Rattus norvegicus: one gene and its partner. The protein of the gene in region 1 interacts with the protein of each later gene in a pairwise test. Links are inferred from orthologs where the notes say so. Each region holds a gene or a part of one and is shown in the gene's direction. Other genes may lie near its edges.

Region 1 (3,645 bases):
GCCAGGCCTAGTAATCGCCCAAGGTTGCAAGCTGAACCATTTCTAGATGGGGGGAGAGTAGACTATGACTAGAGGCGTACTCAGCTGGATTGTGACTTCCCCAGGGGTCGCTCGCTGGGGTTCCTCTTCCCAGGCGCAGAATTTGGCAGGCCCAGGCTAGGGTGCACCAACCCTTAGGCTCAGAATGACGAGACAGGGCCGGGCTCTTTCCCCCTCCGGGCTATTGCCACACTTCCTGCCTCGGCTCTTTTTCCCTAGCCTGTTTCTAAGGAAGGGAGTGGGGTTGGGCGACCGCACCCCAGCTATCCCGCCTCTTCGGCCCTCCAAAAGCTGACAGGATATCGGGCGAGCCCAGAGTGACTAAGGGGAGGCTTTGGACTCAGGTACAGGGTATGTCAGTGCCTAGAGACCACTTACGAGGTACAGTCTCATTCTTACAAGCCCCTTGTCTCTGGGATCCTCCAAGTCGTCCTCTCGGGTAGATCTCAGATACCCTCCTGGCATCGCCTTTACAGCTCAGAAGGAAGCCATGTCCTGACCATTTTAACTTTCCATCAGAGTTCTGCAAATAATCACAGTGACCCCAATCTTTGCTAGATATGTTCCCATCTTCTACTCCTATTGCCTCAGCGTTTCCAGGACCCTTGTTCACTTTCTGCATATCTAAATTGACCTCCCCAAAATTACTCCCCTTTTCCACTTATGGGAGAACCCTCAGACTCATCTGTGGGCTTTAGAGCCCCTACTCATTTCTTATACAATAGGTACCTGACCCTGCTTCCTGAACCTTCTCTCCCACCTGTTCTTTAAGCACTTTGCACTCGGGGCCTCTAGTTAATTCCTAGGTCAAATGTTAACAATTGCTCCCGTTTTGTACCTTCCCTGTTTTCTGGGGTCTTCTAGTATATTGTCAGTTCACAAGTCACAGCTATTGTGGGTCCCGCGAGACTATTCCGGGTATATCCTGAGGCACCCCATCTCCACTTGCAGTGTACAGAGATCTCATAGCCACCGGGTTGTACTCCCGCAGTCCTAACTCCTATGTGCCTCGGTCCCTCAACATCCCTTTGCTTGAGTGTCTCTGTCTCTACAGCCCCTCCCCCTGCAGCCGCGCAGAGCCACCGGGCTCGTGGCCGCTGTTTACAAGGACACGCGCTTCCTGACAGTGACGCGAGCCGCCTCCTCCCCTTCCCCACGCTCTAGGAGGGGGCCGCGGGGGCCTGGCTCCCGCGTCGGCCAATCGGAGTGCACTTCCGCAGCTGACAAATTCAGTATAAAAGCTTGGGGCTGGGGCCGAACACTGGGGACCTTGAGGGTGGCCAGGCCAGCTTTGGATCCTGCAGGGAGCGGGGAGCTGAGAGAAGAGACGCTGAGAAAGCGGGCGCACCACGGAGGGAGAGAAAAGCTCCAGAAGCCGGGCAGCGCTTTTACGCACAGCTACCAACTGGCCGCTGCCGACCGTCTCCAGCTCCCGAGGACGCGCGACCGGACGCCGGGTCCCGCCACAGCCGAGGACAGCTCGCCGGTCGCCGCAGCGAGGCCCGGAGCGGCCCTTCAGGGGGACCTTTCCCAGATCGCCCAGGCCGCCCGGATGTGCACGAAAATGGAACAGCCTTTCTATCACGACGACTCATACGCAGCGGCAGGATACGGTCGGAGCCCTGGCAGTCTTTCTCTTCACGACTACAAACTCCTGAAACCCACCTTAGCGCTCAACCTGGCAGATCCTTATCGGGGTCTCAAGGGTCCTGGGGCGCGGGGTCCAGGCCCAGAGGGCAGTGGGGCAGGCAGCTACTTTTCGGGTCAGGGATCAGACACAGGCGCATCTCTGAAGCTAGCCTCCACGGAACTGGAGCGCTTGATCGTCCCCAACAGCAACGGCGTGATCACGACGACGCCCACGCCTCCGGGACAGTACTTTTACCCCCGTGGGGGCGGCAGCGGCGGAGGTACAGGGGGCGGCGTCACCGAGGAGCAGGAGGGCTTTGCGGACGGTTTTGTCAAAGCCCTGGACGACCTGCACAAGATGAACCACGTGACGCCCCCCAACGTGTCTCTGGGCGCCAGCGGGGGTCCCCAGGCCGGGCCTGGGGGCGTCTATGCTGGTCCGGAGCCGCCTCCGGTCTACACCAACCTCAGCAGTTACTCCCCAGCCTCTGCACCCTCTGGAGGTTCCGGGACCGCCGTCGGGACTGGGAGCTCATACCCGACGGCCACCATCAGCTACCTCCCACATGCACCACCCTTTGCGGGCGGCCACCCGGCGCAGCTGGGCTTGAGTCGCGGCGCTTCCGCCTTTAAAGAGGAACCGCAGACCGTACCGGAGGCACGCAGCCGCGACGCCACGCCGCCTGTGTCCCCCATCAACATGGAAGACCAGGAGCGCATCAAAGTGGAGCGAAAGCGGCTGCGGAACAGGCTGGCGGCCACCAAATGCCGGAAGCGGAAGCTGGAGCGCATCGCGCGCCTGGAGGACAAGGTGAAGACACTCAAGGCTGAGAACGCGGGGCTGTCAAGTACTGCCGGCCTCCTACGGGAGCAAGTGGCGCAGCTCAAGCAGAAGGTCATGACCCACGTCAGCAACGGCTGCCAGTTGCTGCTAGGGGTCAAGGGACACGCCTTCTGAGAGCCTCCCTTGCTCCATACGGACACCCCCAGCCTTGAAGGCTGGGCGCCCGCCCCCCACTGGGGTGAGGGGGGCAGGCGATGGGCACTCGCCCAGAGGTCTGGGGCGCAGCTCACACACTGGACTCTGGCCTGCCCGCCTGCGCCCAGTCCTTCCACCTCGAGGTTTACATGGCCCCCTTCCAGCGTATTTTGTATGTTTTTTTTTTCTGGAAAGAGACTGAATTCATATTGAATATAATATATTTGTGTATTTAACAGGGAGGGGAGAAGGGGGTTGTCGCGGCGGAGCTGGCCCCGCCGCCTGGTACTCAGCCTGTGGGGATACTAGGGAGGAACCTCCGCCCCCTGCCCTCCCCCTCTGCACAGTACTGTGGAGAAGAAACACGCACTTCGTGTCTAAAGTCTATTTTAAGATGTGTTTGTGTGTGTGTTTGACTTTTTATTGAATCTATTTAAGTAAAAAAAAAGTCTTTATTAATTTCTGTGGTCTCTTTCTTCCAAGCTGGGCGGATGGAGGGAGAAGATTGGGCTGCCCCAAGCCCGGGGCAGTTTGTAGTTCTCTCCTTTCGGGTATCTTAAGGTCCAGTACAAGCGCTCAAACCTCCCATCCCCTGAGTCCTGGCACCAGACGCTGCGCAGGCAGGCAGTGGCCGAGAACAAGCTATCCAGGCCCAGGACAAAACCCGGAATGTGCAAGCACGGCCCCGCCCAGCCCCGTGCGCCGGGGCTTTCCCCGCTGACGTTACGGAAGCGCTGCCCATATATGGGCCTATTCAGCTCAGTGACGCCAGCGCGGTCTCCGGGCAGATTCCGGGAATCCCCTCCCCCTTCTCTGCCGGGCAGGGCCGCGGCGCCGGGAAGGGGGCCGGGATTTTCCCGGGCAGGCGGCTTTCTGGGCGCGGAAAGCCCCAGGCCGGGGTCCAGGGCGCCCGCGGTGGGAGGGCTGTGCTCTCCGGAGCCCTGGGAGCCACCCGAGCGGCTTTTAACAGGCTGGCGCCTGAGCCCCGCCGCGCCCAC
Region 2 (4,314 bases), on another chromosome or scaffold:
ATTTTTTATCTGTGACAATTGTCACCCCCTGATGTATTATGTCAGCTCAGTTGTTTACCGTCTGCTCTCACCACTAACTACAAATTCCACAGGGGTTGAAGTTTTTTATTTTGCTAAGTTTGTCCTTAGAACCATATTGCTGTCAGGCGGAATTTCAGTCAGTGGATACTAAAACTTTAATTAGTGGATAATAAAATGCTTTAGGAGCTATAACATATTGTCAGTCCTCAGGTTAAACAAGGAACATTTGAGCCATACTGAGAATGTAGTGAGAGCTTTTATCTTAATATGTGTGAGTGTTTGGCCTGCACATCGAATGTGTGCCTGGTACCTGAGGAGGCAGGAAGAGGGAGAAGGGTCCCCTGGAACTGGAGAGACAGATGGTTGTGAGCCACTGTGTGGATGCTGGGGACAGAACCGATATCCTCTGAAGGAGCAGCCAGCACTACTAACTGCTGAACATCTTTCCAGGGCCCAGACTTTTTTTTTTTAATTAGCCAAAAGACCCAGATGAAAATAGGATTGTTCACTAAAATCACAAGCATGTTCCTGTCATGGGACACATGGCAAGCACGACCATCTCCACAGGCAGCATGCTTCACAGGGTGGGGGACATTGCTATTCCAATTGTCACCCTCTCGTTGCAGTAACTGAGAGATAGTAGGCAGGTGTGGGGTATGGGTGAGGGTGGGAAGTAGGAATAGGGGTCGGGTGGGCTCTCATCATGGCCGATCTCACTCCAAGTCCAGAGCCTCCGTCACTCATTTTGACATTTTCTCCTCGTTGGGTTCTGACCTCATTGACTCCTGAATACTCAAGGTCAACCTTGAACTCTTGAAAGAGCCTCTCCACAGAAGGTATCTTTTCTCTAGAGAGAATGGGAGTGTCCTGCTAAGTAGACGGGGGATAAATAGTAAACTTCTCTAGCGTCCATTCGAGACTCAGTAGCTCCAACTATCTGTTTGGCCGGCTGTAAAAGGGAGTGCCCTCCTTGCTTTTGTCCCCAGACCACCGCACAGTCCTGTAGGTGAATGAGGAAAGTCAGCCTAAATCAGGGTGGGCAGCGGCTTCGGGTGAAACCCAGAAACGGTTCCCAGGCTCCTTACTGTTATTTAAGTTTTAAAATCAAGGCCTGTGACCTGGAGGCTCTTTCCTGCCGCTCTCTGCCATGTTGACAGCAGAGAACTTGCTAATTCTGGCTGGGGATTTTCCCTAACTGGCTGTTTTTCCTCCTTTACCTTCATCGAATGAAGAGCACTAGCTCTGCTCTCAAACTGCCGGAAGATACTGGGGGTTTGTGTATCTTTTTTTTTCTTTCACCTACTTCTATGGTCTTTTCCCAGATGTGTATTTTCTAGCTACCTTCTTACTTGTTGACGTTTCCGCCCATGTGACTTCCAGCTTGAATTACCAGAAACCACAAGAGAGGGCCTGTGCGCAAGCCCCAAAGTGAGCGAGATGTCCCTGTGGGGAGCAGTCCCTCTGCACCCCAGAGAGAGGAGGACGCAGGGGTCTATCGGAGATAGCTGCAGGACGAGCAGGGGAGGCACCTGTGGAAGGTGGTACGCTGCTGGCCCCCTGGCAGTCAAGAAGGGGAGCTTGCTAGTGAGAAGATCGCCCAGAGGCATCTGGGACAGTGTGGGAGAGTCCGGAAGATTACAACCATGCCTCACAGCTCCGACAGCAGCGACTCCAGCTTCAGCCGCTCTCCTCCCCCCGGCAAGCAGGTATTACTCCCCCACGTCCCCCATGCGCTGTCTTCTGATTTTCCCGGGGTGGTAGAAAAGGGGCAGTCTACTCTCAGCTCAGGGAGCTCTGGCCGGGGAAGGAAGTAGCTCGTGGCAAGAGCTTTCTAGCGGACTCTGGACTTGTGGTGTTTGCTATACAGAGGTTCAAGTGGTGAAGCCTTCGCATCCTGCCACAAAAGTCCCCCTTTCCAAGCGGTACCCCTCATCTCTGCCACTTAGGTTCCCACCTTGAAACTTTCTAGGAAGCTGGGGGCAGGGTGACTATCACAGAGCCTAGAAGTATGGTCAACCGTAAGCAGAGGGATGTTCCAGTAGATCGCTGCCGTGAGCTCCACCCAAATCCTAGAACTTTCCAGAAAGAGCCAAGCGGCAAGACAGGACCGAAGTCAGGAAGAAAGAATAGAGTAAACCAAAGCGAGGAAGACAGGAAAAGAGCGGCAAGATCTGCCCGCAGACTGCCTCTGTAACTAGAGCAGCCAGTGGGGAGGGAGGCTAAAGCTACAACTTGTATCTGTTTCCCCCTGTGGCTTCCAGATAGAAGAAAGAAGCCCATGGACCAGAAGACGCGCTGGAGACCTTCACCAGTAGCTCATATCGGTTACTGAAAATCCGGGGATGGAGGGAAAGATTCTGAGACTCTTACACTCTTGATTGATACCAAGTCTCAGTTTGAGAGATGCCTCTGTTGGGATGCCCGTCCCACCTTGCACTTTCTGGGTCTCTCTTCCACATTCTTGATACTTCTTGCCCTAGAAATTTCTCCTCTTCATCCAGCCTAGACCCATGGATTAAACTTTGTTTTACACCTCAGCTTAAAAACTACATTCTTTCTTTAGCACACATATCGGGAGGGGCTATAGCTCGGAGGTAGAGTGCTAGCCTTACACACATCCAGGGAGCTGCAGAATGCTACAAATAAAATAACTGTATATACTATCTGACCACCTGCTTTCACATCTGTCACAAGCCCCTCACCAAAAGCCATACTGGTGAAGACCTCAAGAAGGAGACAGTCAGTCTCTCGCTCACAGTAGTATCAGGGCAACCCAGGCTGCCTGGAAGATGGTACCCTAGTCTTCTTAAGAAGGAAATTACTTACAGCTGCCATGGTAACCTAGTCCCTTGGCGAATTATATAGAAAGAGTGCATCCTTGCTCTCTCTAACTCAATGTCGGCCTGCTAGAATGACCTGGAAAGTTTGAGTAAAGAGGGAAGGCAGTCAGAGCCTGACCCAAGGATCTTTGCCTCTCAGACCAGTGGAGGTGACAGGGTAGGGGATGCAGAAGGGCTTCTCTTCCCTCATCTTCAAAGGATATACTTAGAGAGCACCCAAAGAGTATTGTGTCCTCCAAGGCACCTATTGGTGGCCCAAAAAGCAGGTGACCTGCACTTCATAAATTGATTTTTTGGTACCTCATTTGTAGTAAGCATCATGTTAAGAACTAGGGAGATCTCAAGATGGTTGTACAAGGAACGAATGAATAAAAGAAAGAGAGGTGCCTTCTGCCTAAGGGTGTATCACAGTGAAATTAATAGTCAGGAGGGAATTCTCAGATGGGATTTAGAAACAGCACCAGAACATGTCATACCCCTGGATGGCATGAGCTCAGTCTGTTCTGTGTAAAACAGAAAAGATGGCAGCCGCTCAGGGAGCTGGGGGATTGTATCGCAGTGCCTCTGAAAGCGCCCGTACAGAAGTCGGCACATGGCAGATGCTCAGCAAAGTTTCCAAAGAAAATAGCAAAAGGAACATCAAGAAGATCCTAGTGCATGCACACATGTGTGCATATACACACACACACACACCTCACATGCACACACATATACACACATGTACACACACTCACACCCCCCCCCCACACACACAGAGTAAGGCTAAAGCAGGTCTGGAGAGAGTAGAAGTGATTGGGGTAGACCTTGTTGTCTTAACTGGTGTTCCCCAAAGCAGCACTTCTGAGGCCTCAGTTTCTCTTCACCTTCCAGTAGCTTTTGGTCAAAAGAAGGCCACGGGAGACCCAAGGGCGGGTAGCAGGGAAAGCTGAAGAAAATGTCTTTGGATGGTACAGAAAGAACTGAGGACTAGGAAGGCAGGCAGGCAGGCAGGCAGGCAGGCAGGCAGGCAGGAAGGAAGGAAGGAAGGAAGGAAGGAAGGAAGGAAGGAAGGAAGGAGTTTTGACTAGAAGAGGAATGATCGGACCTACCCTTGTTACCTCTGCTTCCTAGGACTCATCCGATGATGTGAGGAAAGTTCAGAGGAGAGAGAAGAACCGCATTGCTGCCCAGAAGAGCCGACAGAGACAGACACAGAAGGCCGACACCCTTCACCTGGTGAGTACCCACACTTCCTACCACACTCCTACCCTTAGGTTCTGTTTCCCTCACCGGCAGGGCCGTGGGGCCCAGCTTTGATGAGTCTGCTGTCGTGGGGAGAGTAAAGAGGGCAAGGGCTGCATGGGGTCGGGTGTGGGGAAAGGCTTCCCTCTCCCATGCATACGTTCAGTAACAGAGAACAGTGCTGGAGGCTGAATCTTTCCAGCCCAGGAGATTGCAAGGGTGGATGTGTGGG

Evidence for each region.
Region 2: the proteins of Junb (region 1) and Batf interact in binary tests that used the Homo sapiens proteins (3 or more experiments, as listed by UniProt). The link is inferred for Rattus norvegicus from reciprocal best matches to the Homo sapiens genes JUNB and BATF.

What each region holds. Positions count from the first base shown.
Region 1 is NC_086037.1:40,079,805-40,083,449, forward strand, and holds Junb (transcription factor JunB), read left to right. Parts: upstream 1-1,321; 5' UTR 1,322-1,591; coding exon 1,592-2,626; 3' UTR 2,627-3,106; downstream 3,107-3,645. UniProt on the Homo sapiens protein: Transcription factor involved in regulating gene activity following the primary growth factor response. Binds to the DNA sequence 5'-TGA[GC]TCA-3'.
Region 2 is NC_086024.1:111,083,288-111,087,601, forward strand, and holds the start of Batf (basic leucine zipper transcriptional factor ATF-like), read left to right. Parts: upstream 1-1,429; 5' UTR 1,430-1,664; coding exon 1,665-1,727; intron 1,728-3,971; coding exon 3,972-4,076; intron 4,077-4,314. UniProt on the Homo sapiens protein: AP-1 family transcription factor that controls the differentiation of lineage-specific cells in the immune system: specifically mediates the differentiation of T-helper 17 cells (Th17), follicular T-helper cells (TfH), CD8(+) dendritic cells and class-switch recombination (CSR) in B-cells.